Linked DNA regions of Daphnia pulex. The protein of the gene in region 2 purifies or fractionates together with the protein of the main gene of each other region. This does not show direct contact. Links are inferred from orthologs where the notes say so. Each region holds a gene or a part of one and is shown on either strand. Other genes may lie near its edges.

Evidence for each region.
Region 1: the proteins of transcription initiation factor TFIID subunit 4-like (region 2) and transcription initiation factor TFIID subunit 9-like purify together in Drosophila melanogaster (affinity purification with western blotting; 4 studies listed by BioGRID, with this or other methods). This does not show direct contact. The link is inferred for Daphnia pulex from reciprocal best matches to the Drosophila melanogaster genes Taf4 and Taf9.
Region 3: the proteins of transcription initiation factor TFIID subunit 4-like (region 2) and transcription initiation factor TFIID subunit 5-like purify together in Drosophila melanogaster (affinity purification with western blotting; 3 studies listed by BioGRID). This does not show direct contact. The link is inferred for Daphnia pulex from reciprocal best matches to the Drosophila melanogaster genes Taf4 and Taf5.

Annotation. Positions count from the first base shown.
Region 1 is NC_060027.1:3,087,557-3,093,019, reverse strand, and holds transcription initiation factor TFIID subunit 9-like, read left to right. Parts: upstream 1-2,529; 5' UTR 2,530-2,658; coding exon 2,659-2,770; intron 2,771-2,836; coding exon 2,837-2,973; intron 2,974-3,035; coding exon 3,036-3,473; 3' UTR 3,474-3,569; downstream 3,570-5,463. Other genes in the region: protein IWS1 homolog, read right to left, coding at 326-488, 553-765, 832-976, 1,048-1,399, 1,462-1,593, 1,676-1,930, 1,995-2,151; G patch domain-containing protein 8-like, read right to left, coding at 3,940-4,412, 4,471-4,858, 4,920-5,035, 5,141-5,463. UniProt on the Drosophila melanogaster protein: TFIID is a multimeric protein complex that plays a central role in mediating promoter responses to various activators and repressors.
Region 2 is NC_060026.1:12,792,874-12,799,604, forward strand, and holds the start of transcription initiation factor TFIID subunit 4-like, read right to left. Parts: upstream 3,963-6,731; 5' UTR 3,956-3,962; coding exon 3,523-3,955; intron 3,432-3,522; coding exon 2,878-3,431; intron 2,822-2,877; coding exon 2,402-2,821; intron 2,338-2,401; coding exon 2,128-2,337; intron 2,044-2,127; coding exon 1,194-2,043; intron 1,126-1,193; coding exon 812-1,125; intron 732-811; coding exon 609-731; intron 545-608; coding exon 431-544; 3' UTR 1-430. Other genes in the region: metaxin-2-like, read right to left, coding at 4,200-4,392, 4,456-4,532, 4,591-4,755, 4,828-4,920, 4,975-5,091, 5,151-5,278, 5,341-5,386. UniProt on the Drosophila melanogaster protein: TFIID is a multimeric protein complex that plays a central role in mediating promoter responses to various activators and repressors.
Region 3 is NC_060026.1:1,542,506-1,549,141, forward strand, and holds transcription initiation factor TFIID subunit 5-like, read left to right. Parts: upstream 1-2,866; 5' UTR 2,867-2,901; coding exon 2,902-3,084; intron 3,085-3,146; coding exon 3,147-3,338; intron 3,339-3,399; coding exon 3,400-3,602; intron 3,603-3,664; coding exon 3,665-3,861; intron 3,862-3,924; coding exon 3,925-4,126; intron 4,127-4,198; coding exon 4,199-4,318; intron 4,319-4,401; coding exon 4,402-4,993; intron 4,994-5,055; coding exon 5,056-5,457; 3' UTR 5,458-5,525; downstream 5,526-6,636. Other genes in the region: ras-related protein Rab-5C-like, read left to right, coding at 196-394, 457-565, 631-890, 960-1,075. UniProt on the Drosophila melanogaster protein: TFIID is a multimeric protein complex that plays a central role in mediating promoter responses to various activators and repressors. May play a role in helping to anchor Taf4 within the TFIID complex.

The DNA.
Region 1 (5,463 bases), on a different chromosome or scaffold from region 2:
AGTTAATGCAATTTTTCTCCCTGACCTTATACCTTTGCCTTTAGACAAGTACGATGGTAAAGTGTTAAGTCGTATTTTCTCCAAGTTAAAAGGAAATCAAAAGAGAGGCAGACCAAATTTATACTAATAAATACCTTATCATAACCTCAACAGAGTTCATTTTAAGCAACCGTAAAAATGTTTGTGGTTTGCAAGTGAAAATTGGAATTAACCATTTTGTATGCACTTGTTGTTCAATATTTGCAGTACCCCAAGGGATTTGATACCCCCTCCCCCCCCAAGAAAAGTCGTATTGCTGCCAACTATATATTAAATTTCGAAATACCTTTAAAATCAGTCGTTAAGTTGAAAATTGGTCTAGCCCATTCACTGATGAGTCTTCCAGCTTTATCCTTATTCTCCTTGGTTTCCTTGGGGTGCTTACAAAGGTACATCACTGCTTTACCAATTCCAGACTGTTTTAGCGTCCCTTGATCCAGCGGTGGAAACTAGTTTGAAAATACGTAATTTAATTTAGGGTCTGGAACAGAAAGGAAAATAAAGGACATTTACTTCTTGAAGCATAGCGAGAATTTGCTCGCGAATTCTCAGAGCCGGAAGGCTGCGATCCGGCATTGGAGCAAGCCAATCTGTAAGAACGCTAAGTATGTTGTGTTCAATGAAAGCCATCTGTAGATCATGCTTCCGTAGCTGTGCAATAACTGTCGGAAGAAGAGAAATTTTCTTGGTTGCTGGTTTTCGATTTTTGTTGAACTCACGATCCTCCTTTACACAGCAACATTAAAAAAACGCATTAATATTATTGATGACTGATTCGAAGACCATTTTTACTTCAGAAGCAGCTTTCATTTGTTGAATCATATGAGCAATCAAGTCATCGTTATCGTTAATGATGTCGACGTCTTTGCGCTTGCGCTTCCGTTTTTCATCCTTTTTGCGGGCCATCATCAGGTCAAAATCAGAAACAAATTCTGACCTGTTAATACAAACATCAATAATGAATTTAAAAAATGACAACGAAAATTTCACATGATTTTTTTTTTTTACCTTTGATCATCATCTGGATTATCTGATTCAGAATCTTGTCCCTTATCTGAATCATCCTGTTTTGGTTGTTTAGTTTCGTCTTTTTTTGGTGCTTCGTCACCAGATTCCCCAAAAACATCGTCCAAAACTTTTTTGTCTTTTTCGTTTCGACTACCCCCTTCTTCATCACTTGAATCTCCAGCTGGACGAGCAATACGTGATTTCGTCTTTTCTTTTTTCTTCGAGCTTCCAGGTCCGTCGGAGTCACTGCCACTTCGACTGTGTTTACGTTTACGAGTACCACCTCCCCTGCTTTTCACGCTGGACGCCGACGAAGATCTTGATCTAGATCTTGAGCCTTTAGACCTGGATCCTTTTTGGAAAACATTTGTACATTAACAAAACACGAATCGGATTACCCAAAACTACTATTACGTGATCGTGATTTTGAACGGCTTCGGGATCTCGAGCGAGAACCAGACCTTGAACGTGATTTAGAAGATCTGCGTGACGAACGCGATCTCGAACGAGACGAACGAGAACCAGATCTAGAACGTGACCTGGAGCCTATTTATTTTAACACCAGTTATTATTTGGAATATTATAATTGTTTTAATCTCATCAAAATTTTTAGCAACTAATACAGTACCTTTTCGAGAAACTGATTTAGAGTGACTTCTAGATCTTGAGCCTGAACGTGATTTAGAGCGAGACCGTGATTTTGACGAACGGCGTGACGAACGGCGTGACGAACGTGACCCTGATCGAGAACGAGACCCAGATTTTGATCTAGATGAAGAACGAGATCTTGATCTTGAATGTGATTTGGAAGCAGATGGTGATCGACTTCTAGAGCCTTTCTTCAAATGGGGAGACTGAGAGCCATCATCATCTTTTGCTTTGTCTGTGATTTTAATAGTAGATTGACATCGTATTATAAGAAATAAACATAACTTCACTCAACTTACCATAATCATTAGAAACATTGGAATTGTTGGCTTTATCTTCTATTTCTTTCTGTTCACTTGACACTGAATCATTTCCATCCTTCCCCAGACTTCCTTCCTTGGAATCTTCTGCATCGTCTTTGATGTTTGGCTCAGACATGTGCAAAGAGTCATCCATCCTCTAAAGGCTGTTTAGAATAGAAAAAGTACCATTGTTTCAACTTTATTCACAAATGTTGTGAATCTATATTGCTTAAATTATGATGAGATTAATAGAACATATCGTTTTAATTAGGAAATGTTGTGATGCCGGTAAAAAAGATGTTTGAACGTAATAAATAAATTCAATTTCTTTAACCAGAACACAGAATCATAATCTTCATTGGAATGTGCATGTCTTACCTAGTGTTGACTGATCGACGGTTAGGGATTAATTAAAATCTTAAAAAAAAGAGAAAGATTAAAACTTTTGGTTTTATTGTGTGCTCGTCTTCCAGCACACAAACAAATGAATAAAAATGCTCAAAGCTAACGCTAGATGGCTGAAGGATAAGTTGACAGCCCAACTTATTCTGTTAACAAAAGTGAAATGAGACAGCCTCGAAGGAATCTTTTGAATTCAAGTCAATAATAGTTGGTTTATTTGGTTTATTGGTATCTCAGTTTGATTTCAAATCTAACGACCATGTCTACAAAAATTCCCCGTGATGCTCTAGTAATTCAAGCTATCCTAAAAGATATGGGCATTACTGAATACGAGCCTAGGGTTATCAATCAACTGTTGGAATTCATATACCGTAAGCCTAGGAATAGTCAAATAGAACGATTATGAACGACTTTTCATTAACTGTTTTTAATCTTAGGATATGTGACTACTGTCCTAGATGACGCTAAGGCATATGCAAATCATGCTAAGAAAAAAGGGATTGATTTGGACGATGTCAAACTTGCTGTTTCAATGCAAATGGAACAATCTTTCACTTCTCCCCCACCACGTGAAGTATACAGAATTTACAATAGAAATAAGTTATTTGGCCATATTCTCATCTATTTCACATTTAGATTCTCATGGAAGTTGCAAGATCAAAAAATAGCACACCTCTACCTTCAGTGAAACCACACTGTGGCATTCGCCTGCCACCTGACTGTCATTGCCTTGCTGCTTGCAATTACAAGTTGAAAACTATCAAAAAGACATTACCAAAGGCTCTTGGTGGTGGATCGACTACTGGATCTAGAATTGGTATGCTGGGGGCGGCAAGAGCTGTGCACCGACCGAGTTCACCTGCAGTTCGGGTCACTACGATTAATGCGGGAACTCCCACAACTCCTCGACCTGTTGTGAAGATCAACACTGGTTCTGCAATTAATACTCCCGCCAATGTTCCAAAGATTCAGATCAATATTCCGGCTCAGCCCAATCAGCCAGCAGAGAAAATGGAAATTGATGTTCGAGGAGTGAAGCGTGAAAGAGAGGACGATGATTATGATGCTGCGTGAATTATTGGAATGGTTTCTTATTTCATTAAATTTCTTACAAGCTCGCGTTACGTTGCCTGAGTAATGATAAATTCTTGAATAAATCAATCGACTTAAGATTTTTTCTTCATGCTATCCAAGTATTTAAAAAATGAATTAACGTTGCTCGTGTAATATGGCTTCCAGATGTACATAGGAAAGATGTTCAACTCAATGTTTTATCACCTTAGCACACATGTTTGACACGAGAAAAGGAATCTTAAAGGGGGACAACGAGTGCTGAGGAACACAATGGAACGGCTGACGAGACAAAATCAGCTTGGTTTCTGAAAGTAAAATCATAGGGTTGAAAACTGCTATGCAGACTTGATCGTGTTGAACTTTGCAAATGGGGGGGGGGCGAATAGTTAAAATGTATGAGAAAAAAAAATGAAGGAATTCCATGTGCTCATCAAATGTTGCAGTATTAACTGCACGTGTAGAAAAACTATTCGCAGCCCGGTGGGACCAAGTCTTCATCGTCGTCACCACCTCCATCGTCCCATTTACTTCCAACTTTACGACGATCAGACTGGGACGACGATGCTGTCACAGCGGCAACTGGAGCGGGTACAGGACCAGGTTTCTCTTCACGTGCTGGACTACGTTGCTGTACATCTCTTTCTCCACTTTCTCGTTCGTTACGATGCTGATCCTGATCATTACGACCTTGAGGACTTGTATCTCTGGCATCCCGGTTATCTCTTGCATCTCGGTCACGACCGCGATAGTTGTCCTGGCGGCTACGGGAGCGGCTGCGAGATGGACTGCGGCTTACACTGCGACTGTAGCTGCGTGAGCGGCTGCGAGAACGGGATCGAGTGCGGCTACGGCTTCGACTACGCGAATACGATCGTTGCATTTGCTGTTGCCAATAGCCGCCTCTGTTGCGACCACGGTGGCGGCGATTATCATATCCTCCTAAATCAAATATTCAAGTAAATACAAAGCTCTAAATTTTAATAACCTTACTGAATACCTTGATTGTTGTTGTTGTTATTATGATAAGGTCGATTGTTGTACGGGCGGTTGTTATATCCTCCACGATTGTTATTGTAGTTGTTATTCCAACCACGACCACGGTTCTGAAAGCCACCACGTTGGGGATAGCGTCCGCCACGATGATGATAGTTTTGATTCGGATGGCGGTTTCCTCCGCGATAACGTTGATTTTGGTGGCGTCTATCGCCGGAATGGGATCGTGATCGTCTACGGCGGTCGCGAGACCCAGACCGAGACCGAGATCTAGAACCAGATCGTGAATATGACCTCCCACGACTTCGGCTTCGAGATTGGCTACGCGAACGTGAGCGGCGGCGTTGAGACCGCGAACGGGATCTGCTTCCACGCTCTTTCTCTTGATTGGCCTATAACATTTAATCGCGATTTAACTTTATTCTTATTTTGAAATTTCTTTGATCAACTAACCTCCGACTGAGCTTGCTCATTGGTTTTTGGCGGACTGACTGGTTTGGGCGGTGCCTGACGAGGACCCGGGCCAAACAATCCAAATGACTGTATCTTAAAAGAGACTTTGTCTTCCCCTATTTAAACAATAAAACGTTATTTTTAAACAAAAATTCAAAAAATAAAAGATACAAAATAAAAATGGAATCAAGGCAAACGTAAAAAATAAAAATATTAATTACTGAAGTCACCTGGCGGCATCTCCTCTTCTTGTTCAACAGGTGCTTGTTGAGCTGGCGGAGCTCTTTTCTCTTCTTTCATGTATACCATACGACTTTCTTCAACTTCGGGCTCGTCAGACCCACGACCCAACTTCACCTTCAACGCCATGGGTCGCCATTTTCCTGGATAATCATCGTCATCACCAGATGCACCTCCAGCTGAAGCCGACATTCCTGCGGCTCCGGGTGTTGGTACATAAGACGGTGGCGGAACGGGCTCGGGTTTCACATTCAATTTGGATTCGCCACCACGTAATAAACCAGCGGCAGCAGCAAGATCTTCT
Region 2 (6,731 bases):
AATGTGGCGTCATTATAAAGCATTCCATGATTTCGTCATAACCATCCACACACTGATACATTATACAAAAGACATAATCATTTCAGAGAGATAGATAGATTGAAATAGAGAGAAAAGAACATTTTCACGCCGCCCCCCGCACAAATAAATCAACAGTATGTACAACAGAAGATGGGCGGGGGACATATGTCGCGAGGAGGAGAAGGAGGAGAAGAGAACAAGGACATGGTTGCATAACGTTGCTCTTAATTAACATAAAGAGTGTCGGTGTGACGGACAGAGGCTTGTTTTCCCCTCCAATAAAACGCTTCATTTTTTTACTCCCATAGGGAAACCTTATGTGCACCTCTCACAGGCATGTTGATGGGCAAACAACTTAACGCTTACGTGTGTGTGTGTTTTTTTAAGAGATGAGGGAGACAAAAGAAGACTACTTGAGATAAGCTTTATACAACAGAGGGGATCTTATAGTTCCTTTCTCTTCTTTTAGCAGGAACAGTAAATCCCGAAGATTTACGCGCTTGACACGCGGTCGTAAAGGCACCTAAAACAAATATTGGAACGGTAAAAATTGAATTCTTTTAATGCAATATAAAGTTCGATTTTACCTGGTTGTAAGAGCCGGTAGTACCAGCCAGGTCGAGTTTGGGCTTTTTCCTTATACCAATAGCTTGCAAGGCTGTCATGTTGGCCTCGCGTTGTCTCAGTTCCTCCATTTCCGCTCGTTGCATCTGTCAATTAATAAATTTTTCAAAGTTTAACAACATTGAATTTGAAGGTGACAGTTATAACGAGATATTTTATCACGTACCTCCTTTGCTTTTGCTTTCAACTTTGCCTGTTCAGGATCTTCAGCTTTCGAACGTGATTTTGCTGCTTTCAAAAGCATTTCGCGTTGAATCTCGCTATGCCTTCGTCGCTCCAACTTGTCCAGTTCCTCGAGGAATTTTAGCTGACCCTTGACATCCTGTTGGACTTCGTAACGAGCGTCTGTTTTGACAACTTCCATTCGATGCTCGGCGGTGACGGCAAGCTTTTCCAACAATGTTTTCAATCGTTCTTGAGTGGCATGTGATATAAGCGAAACTACTTCCGGACTAGGATCTCCTAGACCGTTCCTGGAGGCTAAAAAACAAACGTAATAAAATCATTAGCTTTGTCGATTTCTCTAACAAGAAAACAGATGTCAATACCAATTTGTTGGATTCTCCTCTGCAAGGGACCGGTGAAAAGGAAATTTTCGTCTTTGCAGGATCGAATTTGAGTACCAATCATATCGGTGGAGCCAAGAATACGCTGCGATTCTTCTGCCAAGTTAACTCCACCCATAGCCGCTACATCGTTGATGTCGTTGTCCGCTAGACCAGCTAGAGACGAACCAAACGTAAAAGCTTTTTTCTCCTTCGAAGCGTCTTTGGGCCCAGTTGGTACAGGTAGAGGACCTTTGATACCACCCGGACCAACGGAAACTGTTGCCGCCGAAGTCGTTGGCTTTGTTGCCGTACTAGACGTCGGAACCGAAGACGTCGATGCTACCGTGACCAAAGGTGTAGGACCCGGCGTTATGGCAGTCGGCGCTGATGTTACTCCTCCGACTTGTGGCAGGTGGATGGTAAAAGCGATTGGCGCTGGGGACTCGGAAGTAATGGAAGGCTCCGTCTTGATAGTAGAAACAGCCGTCATTGTGGTCGAGGCAGCGGCCGCCGTTGTCGTGGCAGTCACTTTAGGTGCCTGCTGGGCTGCTTTGGCCTTTGGAGTGGCTTTATTGGCTGCTGGTCTAGGTGGCCGTGGAGCGGGTAGAGTGCCAGCAGAGGCGCCAACCATTGTAGGTGTTTGGAGTCGAACTTGCCCACCCATTGGCCGTACAGTTTGTATCTGCGTTGGCCCGGCGTTCACTCGGTTGACAACACTCTGTTGTTGAGGATGTTGTTGTTGTATAACCATGGGCTGCGGAGCGTTGACCGTAGTTAAGGCTGGCGGTCGGATTCCATCAATATGCAACTCTCGTAAAGCTAGGGATTGTCTCAAGTAGGGCAAGCTTTTCTGTGAAACCAAATAACAAGAATCCAATATAAAGAACAAATACAAACAACGTACAGTCGAGTGGTAGGATCAACTTTACAATACCTTGAGAAATGGAATGAGGCAAGGCTGAGGAGAGGAGTTGAGTTCTCTTTGGAGCTTCGTTGTAAACTCCTCTGGTTCAACCTTCGCATCAACTAAACCCTGAATGAGCATTTGAACGTTAGTGGCCACAGATTCCGGCTGTTCACTCGCTAGACGTAGCAGAGTGGACAAAAAGTTTTTGCACTTGACTTTGGCCGTGTCGGGGGTCATCTGTAAGTGGATATGATAAGTTTTAATAGCCATCCTATTAAACATCGAACTTGTTTGTATTCACCTGTCCAGAATTACTGGCTGGATTTGATGCTGGGGCTGCGGTGGGAGCCGAAGTGTTCGTAGGGGTAACAGACACACTCCCACCAACAGGTGCCGCAGTCGTAGCGGACACAGGTTGAATAGTTGTGGACACGGGGACTTGCAAACGATAAGTAGCCCCAACGTTTTGATTCATCGTGGGCACAGCGTTCGAAGTCGTTGTTAATTGTTGAATATTTTGTTGTTGCTGCTGTTGTTGAGGTTGTTGTTGTTGTTGCTGCTGCTGTTGGGCCACATTTTGCAACGAGGGAATGTTTGAAGTTACAACTTGTGACCCAACTGTCGTGCCGGCTACAGGACCGGGACCGACACGTAAGAGCTGATACTGTCCCGTTTCGGTTTTGACGAGCAAGTGACCCTGAGCTCCCGCAGCCTGGAAACCCTTTTAATTAGAGAATCAATCAGCACGGGGATTTATATTATTAATCGATACGTTACTTGTAAGGCTTGTAAAGTAATTCCCATTTGTCCAGGTCGAGCACCAACCATCTGTTGAGGTGCCAACATCACACGAGGAGCAAGCGTCCGATGAGCTGGATTGTTCAAGGCGGCCATATTTTGTAGGTTTTGTACGTTTTGCGGCCTCATAGCATTCATGTTCACTACTTGCACACCCGCAGGAAGAATTCCTGTCCCCGCACTATTTATCACGGTCGTCTGCTGCTGCTGTTGAACCACTTGGGTCCCCTGTCTTAACACTTGAGATGAATTCAGGGTGACTGTTCCATTAGTGTTCAGCACAGTTTGTTGTTGTTGTTGTTGATGATGCTGTTGCTGTCCCATCACTGTTGTTGAAGCTACTGTTTGGTTAACTTTAGTCGGAATGATCATCGTAGGTTGCTGAGAAGTAGCTGTTGACGCTACCATCTTCTGTTGTTGCTGATGGATCACCATACCAGACAGTGTTGTGTTAACGTTCCCTGAGCTTGTGACCACTGTGCCATTTGGTAGACCAATAGCACCTCCTGCAAATTGTTGGATGTTGACCATACCTATAGGAACGAAAGAAGTACAATCAGTTATCAGCTCATAATCCAAGTCCAATACAGTTTCGTTCATGAAAAAATAACATTGTCGTGTTACCACTGGGATTGCCATTGGGAAGTATTGAATGGACGGTGGTGGTGTTTGGTAAATGAATAGAAGAGACTGAAGAAGGGACCGTTGACAGCGCCGATCCGATCGGAACTGATGCTGCTGGCGCGCAAGTTGTTGTTGCGTGCAGGCTACTGCCGTTTCCCGCGAATGTTGCCGTTGTGGTGGCAGCGGACGGGGTATTGGCAGGCTGCAGCGGTGGAGGAACCGACGAGGTAGAGCTTGTCGTAAAAGCCAAGCCGCCGCCTTGTGTGTTATTACTAGCACCAACATTTGCATTACTCAACTGGCTCTCAAGTGATCCAACTAACGCGGAGACAGCGTCGGCATCCGCTGACGGGTTCGAGATTAAATCGTCCAGGAAGCTAGACGCCATTTTCTGCTCCGAACCCGGTTCCCAAACTGACTGTAAGCAGCTCATTTCCCAACCTCTGCCCTAGCGGCAAAACGTTGAAACGTGTCACTCCTCCCCTAGCATAGTCAAACCACCTAGTGTTCATTTTTCAAACCCTTTACTATATTTTTTTGAATTTTCTACTCTTGTATTTAATAACCGCGTGTGTGCTTACTCTAAAGGATATCATATCAATGAAATATAATAGCGTGTAAATCTCAGAAGTATGGGGCTATTATAAACTTTACAACTTTTCCTATACTATTTGAACTTAGTCAAAATTATCGCTGTCATCGTCCGTTGTCTTGGCGGTTGGTTTCTGGAAGTAAGTCTTCTCAAGGAACTGGCAAGCCTCGACCAGATTCGGGTAGGATCGCACAATGGATGCTAATCTATTGTCGGGCAACGGTGTGGTCAGCAAAGTAAACACATGGCCAAAGACAACCGCATCTAATTCCGTGCATCTAATGACGAGGAACAAAGTCAGCACTTATTTTATTAGAAACCCATTTTAAAAAATTTAATACCTATCATTAAAGAAATAAAGGTGGTTTCCTAATCGCTCACTTAGCGCATTACAGCAATGATCAACATCTTCATATACCTGCAGGAAAATAATAAATAATTTTCTAATGCAAAAACTATTAGACCAAACAAATCACCTCATCAAGTGTTTTGGTAATCCAGCCAAGAGCAGTTAATTTCTTAGTTACTTGTTTCTGTTTTCTCCAGGTTAGCAGAGTGTTCAAAGGCCAAGAATAGACAGAGCCATAACGAGGACCAGTTACTTCATTCAAAACAGTTTCATCACACCAGCTGATATATAACTAAGTAGGAACAAACACTGCTCATCAATCACATAACACACAAAAGTAGTTACAAATATAATAATATAATACCTCTGCATTTCCCAATATATTGTTTGCTAAAGACATGTAAGCTCTCATGTCTGCTTTTTGAGCAGCATCCAAGTGATCTGTAAGATTTATACCCTACAAAAAAAAACACGTCATAAAATGGGATTGTAGAGAAAATATTGAAAATACCTTGTTGCTCACAAAACTGACAACAGGGTCAAGATCAGCTACTACAAAGGCACCACATTTTATGAAAGGCAATTTTCCGGATGGTGACATATGCTCAGCATTGCTTCTCATTTCCACCTAAGAAAAGAAATAAATCAATAACTTAAGATTTCCTTAGTTTTAGTTTTCCAATTTACCTGAAATTCTAAACCACACATTCGCAGAAAAACTTGGACAGCCAAAGAATTGGCTTGATCTTGCAATAGAATTTGTTCAACTTCATAGGGCTGATAAAGTTTGACGTCAGAAGGCCAAGGTTCCAAAGCTATTAGGTTTTTTTAAAAGTGAGAAATAAATGTGAAAATATAAAATATCCAAAATGATTACCTCCAAGCTCTAATGAAATAGAGTCTGTTAGTAAAACTGATGGCATTATCGTAATGAATTAAACTTTTATCGGCTAAAATAAGAAAATCACAACATCAATACGGAATTATTTTTAGATCGGCTGCTGCGGTTTTTATTCAGAGTTGCCAAATTACGCAAAAATGATGAACCCAAAATAAATTTCAAAATTGGATTTTTCTAATAAGCTTAATTTACTGACCAACTAGTAACTAGATATTTAAGAATTGTAGTAAAAATTTGTCATTGAAATAATTATTGCATCATAAATCATAATTATATTTGTAATCAAACGTATTCAAAATTCAAAATGTTTTGCTGTGAAAATACAGGTTGATAGAGAATGTATTAATTAATAAATATTTCTACCAATTTGTTTTTTATATTAAATATAGTTAAATGTTCACCTGTAACGTAACTTTCTGCTTTTCAACGCCCTTCTAAATGCATTTCTACGAAATGTACTTGCCACATCGTACCGCGAAATGCGAATGTCGCTAGAACACGTCGTCGTGCTCCACATAATAATCAGTTCCCTTTTTGCAAGCGTAAATTTCCCTCTAGGACCGACCTGTTTTTGTGTGTTTTGAAATCTGTTTTTAATTTACTGCTCCTGATTTTTACCTTTAAAAAACTTGATTTCTGACCCAAGTTCTATTATTTGTCGAAGTGCGCGTTATTTTCTCGTGATGGTAATTGATACCAATTGATGCTAAAAAAAACCGTAACAATTCAGTATCTTGTTTCCAGGATGCCGAAAGTGGTCGCAACATCAAGTTATTCACAAGTTTTTCATTGACCGCTTTTTTGTAGTGAAATTTCAAGCTATATTTAGCCTTCGAATAAGGCAAACTATTCGGGGATTTATTATTAATGATATGCGAAACGTTTTCCGGGAGCTCTGCCGACTTTTTCCACGAGACAATGACGAAGATCTTCGTTGAGGGTCCATTTCGAGACTTTTTCATTTGTTTGTTGTATTAGAAATTCAAGGAATCGCGTTGTTTGGTGCTATCTGACGTCCTTGTGTCAACAGACCTTGTCATCGCCGTCCCATCGTAGCCCAGACAGACCAAACCTTTTTCGGAGAAGAGTCGTAGACTTTTGACATTTCAATATTTATCATTCGGGAAAATATTTTTCATCCGACTGCATTTATTATGCACGTAATGCGCTTTCGAGCAATAAAAAACGCAACGGGACTCGGCCAACTCTCTCAATTGAATTGACTGACAATGTCACCAAATTATTTTCCAACCATGTAGGCAAGGCTCCCAACGCAAGATGGCGCTGAGCGACTTCTCATAACAAATGCAGACAGCGCCACGTTGTCACACGTCAACAAGAAACGCCAGATGAAAATTATATAACAC
Region 3 (6,636 bases), about 11 Mb from region 2:
AGTTTCCTGGTTTGGGGTATATAGCTTTTTGTTCTTGTTTTGTTTTAGTAGGTCAGAAGCACAGGAAGCCAATCAAATTCTCTTTTTTTTTATTCCCAATATGTATAAGGATTCTACCTTGGCTAATTTTTTTGCACAAGGTTGTGAACTGATGTTTTTTTCTTTCTTGTTGCAGCTTCAGTTTACAGCAGAGTCATGGCCAATCGTGGGAATCAAGCTGGAACAGCAACAGCAGCAGCCGGTGGAGCTGCACAGCGACCAAATGGTGCCACACAGGGCAAAATCTGCCAGTTCAAACTGGTGCTTCTCGGTGAGTCTGCAGTGGGAAAGTCCAGTCTGGTTCTCCGTTTTGTCAAAGGACAGTTCCATGAATACCAGGAGAGTACCATCGGAGGTAAACATGATTTCATCTCCACTCTTTGATCACAGTTGTTAATGTTGTCGTTTTCTTTCCAGCGGCTTTCTTGACACAGACAGTCTGTTTGGATGACACAACTGTCAAATTTGAGATTTGGGATACTGCTGGCCAGGAACGATACCACAGTCTTGCCCCCATGTATTACAGGTACGATTGATCATAAAACAAAAAGTGTCAACTTGTATCAATAACACCTTTGTTGATATTTGCAGAGGGGCACAGGCGGCTATTGTAGTGTACGACATAACAAACCAAGACACTTTTGGCCGGGCCAAGGTCTGGGTGAAAGAGTTGCAACGTCAAGCCTCCCCTAACATTGTCATTGCCTTGGCGGGCAACAAAGCCGACTTGGCCGCTAAACGTGCTGTTGAATTTGACGAAGCTAAAGGCTACGCCGAAGAAAACGGACTTCTATTTATGGAAACGTCAGCCAAGACGGCCATGAACGTCAACGACATCTTCTTGGCTATCGGTAAATTCAACTCATTACTCACATGCAATTATTCTTCTCTATGTACATCTTTCTTTTTGCACTTGACAGCCAAGAAACTACCTAAGAACGACGGAGCTGGAGGTGTTGGCGGAAGCAGTGGGCAGGGTAGGAGGCTAGACAGAGCTGAAGACGGCAACAAACCAGCTTCCTCGTGCTGCAAGTGATCACGAAATAATTAAACAACAAAAAAAAGAAACTAAACAAAGAAAAAAAACACATACTACACACATTTATGAAAGACAACAAAAACAACAAAAAAACCATATATTAAAAAAAAAGAAAAAATCATCCGTTCTTTGTTTTCTTTGTTTTTTCCACACGCGGGGATCCAATTCCTTTTCTTTCTTATTATTATTTTTCCCTAATTTTTTTTTTTGTAAACCATCAAAAGGACTTTTATATCATATCCCTTTACAGCATCCCCCTCCCCCCATCAGAATATAATTTGCAGCATTTAAATAGTTACAACCTTTTTTGGGGATTATCCGTTGTGTCGATCGTTTATTTTTTAATTTTTTTTTTATTCAAACGGAGCAGCGACATTCCAAATTAAATGGCGAATTTGAATTGGAAAAGAAAACAAGGCAAGGGTTTACAAAAAATAATGGCCTGACTCTGTATTATTAAATCTCCCGACCATCATCAACCATGTTTTTTTTCTATTTTGGTTTTTACATAACACACACCTTTTTTCCCCCCACGTTTTTACTTCAAACAAACTTGTGTGATGGTTCTTTTTTCTCGTGTGTAGAATTTCTTCCCCCCGTTTCTTTTGTGTATACTCGAACCTCCCCCCCGCCCTTCAAAACTTTTGTATATCAAGCTTTGTGAAACCTTGATTACCTTTTTTTTTTTTTATATACAAATCAATGTAGGTGTTCCACACATTTCTTCTCTATATACCTATTTAGCTTTTTCTCTCCTTGATCATGATCGTGGCCCTCCCAATATCTTTCGAATAATGTCCTAACTTGGATATCGTGTAAGTAACGCTGCTATATCAGGAAATGTACATTTCTTGCCTTGCCCGTTGATTTCATTTCATTCTTTCTTTAATTGGCTTTACTGATACTGATAAGCCTTTGCACTTTGGAAGTTGAAATGAGTGGAGAAATAACGAGAAAAATTTGGATATTCTTGTGAAAAGGCGAATCTATATTGATGCACATGGTACAAATACGAATGACATTTCACAAGAGGTAATTTTTTTTACAGCCAAATTTCAGCAGCTTTTGTCCAAGTGGGAACTCGTGGTGGTAATTAGTTTTCTGGTTCTGGATGACAGCTGACCCAGAATTACCTAGTGAAAGAACAGAACAGTTAGAGACAATTTACACGGCGTCATTAAAACTAGTGAACTTACCTAAGAATCAGACTGCCATTTGCTTCCATGTGACTGCGAGTGGTTGAGAATGGATTTACTTGGAGCGAGCACGCATCTTCCTGCGCTTACGCTTAAGCCTACGCATACGCTTCTTACGCCACTAAAGAAAGAAAGAGCCGGCCATTAGATTCACAAGCCTCGAGACAAGCATCACAGTACACCGATACATGAAACACATAGAATAGGTAGAAAAACGATAATTACCTTAGCTCTCATGATGCAGTCGGTCTCTAAATGAAACAAGGAAAACGAAACAGTCGGTTAGAGATGTTGAAAACGAGGCAATTGTTGGATGATATTGGATTTTGTTAACTCAGTAAAACCAAGAATGAACTTACCTAGGAAAGACTGCAGAGAAGAGTGAGAGAGCCAGTGCCTGATGGTCTCCTACATTGCCTATTTCCGTTTCCACTCCTTTCTTTAAAAATAGTTGAAATATTATATCGTAAAACATATTAAAACCTATATTAATTTGATGCTAGAAAAATTAGCAATTTTATTATGGGTAAAGTATTGTTTTAATTAATATTTTAGTAAATAAATTTGATAACTGGCACAATGCAAACCCGCTGTCGGGGTTGTTTACAACGAAAAAAAAAAGGAAAAATGGAGTTCGATATGAATCAGATATCTCAAACAAGTAATTCAAACGCGAAAATTGAAGCATCTGAAAGTCAAAACAGTGAAGTTCCAAGTGAAAACAGTGCAGTTCAACCTGTAGAACCAGAAAATGTCGACTCCAATACCCTTGCGGCCGTATTACAGTTTCTTCAGAAGCACAACCTGAAAGTAACTGAAAATGACATGATTATTTTTAAATTTCGGCGTCTCATTTATTTACAATGTATTAGGGGACGGCTGATATTTTGAAAAAAGAAGCACGGCTCAAGGAGGATCAATTACGAGATGCACAAGCTCTTCAAGTGGATTCAGAGGCAACAAATTTGCTCTCATCATACAAGAGCGAAGGAGACCCAAATGCCTACGAAAAAGCTTACCTAAGTTACAGGAGATTTGTGGAAAGCTCGCTGGATGTTTATAAAGTATGGTCAAAAGATATTCAACTCAATTTCAAATAATAATTTCAATTTGTTTACTTTTCAGCATGAGCTGTCCCTAGTATTGTACCCTTTATTTGTCCACATGTATTTGGAAATGATTTACAACCAACATGAATCAGAAGCCGCTAAATTTATGGAACGTTTTTCAACAGATCAGGAAGATTATTATCAGGATGATCTTAAAAAAGTTTCTTTTATTACCAAAAAAGAACACATGAAAGGCAGTGATCTCATGGAGAATTTCAAGTAACAAATCACTTTTTTTTTAAATAAAATCGTCAATCATAAAAACTTAAATTGTTAAACAGATCAAGTCAGTTCACCGTTCGAATGTCCCGGGATACTTACTCGGTTTTGAAGCGGTTTTTGCAGGACAAGAACCAATCAATTGTCATGAACGTCATTCAGGAACACTTGTACGTCGACATGTACGAAGGAGTGCCGAGAAATAAAGCCCAAGTTGAATCCACAGCCGGAGCCATGGAAGGCGAGGCCAACAGACAAGGTACACAAATCAAGAGATTAGAAAGAAATCCCCAAAACAATTACCAATTCTTTTCACTTACAGTAAACAAGACCAAAATCTACTATGGTCTGCTCAAAGAGCCCGATATCCAGCTTCCGGTAGTCGAGGAGGAAGAGGACGGAGAACCCGGCGAAGGTGGTGAAAAGCCCAAAAAGAAGAAACCCAAAAAGGATCCGTTGCTCAACAAGAAAGCCAAGAGCGACCCTAATGCTCCACCGGCCAGCCGATTGCCATTACCAGATTTGTAAGATGCAGATGCAGTGAAAAATGGTGTGGAAAAAAAGGAAAATGGTTGAGCTGTGAGTTTCTGTTTCAGGAGAGATATCGACAAACTGGAGAAGGTCAGGGCCCTACGAGAAGCCAGCAAGAGGGTGGCTCTTGGTCCAGACAATTTGCCGTCCATTTGTTTCTACACGATGCTGAATTGCGCGGAAACGTCAGTTATTCTAATTTACCTGATTTTTTCCATTCAATTTGAAATTATAATTTTTTTTCTTTTTCCCTTTTTGTGAATGACAGGGTCACGTGCGTCGAATTCTGCGAGGATTCGTCACTATTAGCCGTAGGGTTTTCCGATTCCATCCTCAAAGTTTGGAGTCTTGTACCCCAGAAACTCCGGGCCATGAAACCGGCCGAGCAATTGGCCGATATCGACAAGGAGGCCGAAGATGTTCTCGTTCGTATGATGGACGACAAGACGGGTGAGACTATGAAAGTCCTTCACGGCCATTGCGGGCCGGTTTACGCTGCCTCGTTCAGTCACGACCGGACGTTACTCTTATCATCGTCGGAAGACGCCACGATCCGGCTGTGGAGTTTGCAGACGTGGACCTGCCTGGTGGTCTATAAAGGCCACATTTACCCCGTGTGGGACGTGAGGTTTTCCCCTCACGGCTACTATTTCTCATCAGTCGGACATGATCGGACTGCCAGACTTTGGGCCACCGATCATCACCAGCCTTTAAGGATCTTTGCCGGCCATTATTCAGACGTTGACGTGGTCCAATTCCATCCCAATTCCAATTACGTCGCCACAGGTTCCAGCGATAGGAGCGTCCGTTTATGGGATTGCGTAACTGGCAACTGTGTCCGGCTAATGACTGGTCATAAAGTAAAAACATTTTCATCCTTTTTATGAGTTTGTTTTTCTTTACAAGTTTTTTGTTTGTGTAGGGAACCGTCTCGGCGTTGTGTTTCTCCACCGACGGCCGTTTTCTGGCATCCGGTGGAGCTGATCAAAAAGTCCTGTTATGGGATCTGGCTCACGGTCACTTATTGGCCGACCTGCCTGGGCACACGATGACAATCTCCAGTTTGGCCTTCAGTCGAGACGGGACCGTGTTCGCCACGTCTTCCCTGGACGGCTCCATCCAACTGTGGGATTTCTTCCGGATGACGGATGAGTCCTCTTTAGAGGACGTCAACATCTCGGGTCACAATCCAGACCTTCTCAAGCGGAGTAACGCCATTGAATCGCTCCGCCTGGCACGTTACCCGACCAAAGCCACTCCTGTCATGTCATTGCATTTCACGCGGAGGAATTTGCTACTCGCTGCCGGCATGTTTGAAGGCTAATCCCTCGATTCACACCAATTTTTAAAAAATAATAATAAGAATTAAAATACATATAACTTTGTCTCTTATTTCCACAGATCCATTTTGTTGTTGTCAAGTCGGGAAAAACCAAATTCTGTCGAGTTGGCTACGTATTTTTCGTAAACGTGCCTAGTGAACCTCGAGACCGCTGTATAAATAGAAGATAATCGACCTGGTTTTTTCCGAGTCGATCTAGAAGTTTCCAGTTTGAGTCAGTCCGAATGGTTAAATTCCTATTGCTACGCAGTGAACCTTTGAATTTGAACCAAACCTTGGAAAAATCCCAAAGAACTGTTCAAATATTAAAAGAAAAACGAGCAAAGTCTAGACCATAAAATGGAGACTTAACGGGATAATAAAATTCAAATTTCTTTGTAGACCAAATAAGGTTGGAGCTAGACAAAAGTCACACGTAACTTGTTTCTTTGGACACGTATAGCGACCGGTCGGTCGTCATGTGTGCACACATAATTTATTATTTTTTCGCCAATAATTAATTTTAATTGAATCAGAAAAAAATCCCGGAAATTTGATTTAGTCCCAAGTGTATTAAAATACTGTATTCTTATCGCGTTGTCGTTCAAAGATTCCTTCAACAGAAGAAAGGAACTGTTGATTTATTATCACACATAAGGGAATGACGCAATCGGCTGTGTAGGCCCCAACACACCAAATGTGGCATAGCAACATTACATGTATACATCAAACAGCTTTGCGTAGGGGTAGCCAAAAAAAGGGATTTTAACTGAAATGACTCGACAGAAAGTTGTCGGTTGGGGGGCTCGGTTCGACCAATGCCAAAACATTGTGTACGTGTCCCAGTTTATTCGCACGTAACAATGTTCGTCAGCGAAAATGTTTACCATTCGTATAATGAACGTCAGCTGGCGCAGTTGCCATGCAAAGTCAACGAATACGTAATATATTTTTTCGCCAGAAAAAAGGGTGTGTTAATAGGGAAAAGAAAAATGCTAAAAGATTTGTGTACGGTTTGGCAGCAGCAGTTAAAAAAAAAAGCCTCCCTCCAGTTTTTCGTGACACGAGTTGAGCACGTGAACAGCTAGTGGTTGGGCTCGTCTCTGATTGGCTGGCCATTCGCTTGTGGCGCCAATTTGATCGCGCGGGATATTCCGTCAGCGCGGGCTCAACCCACCACGT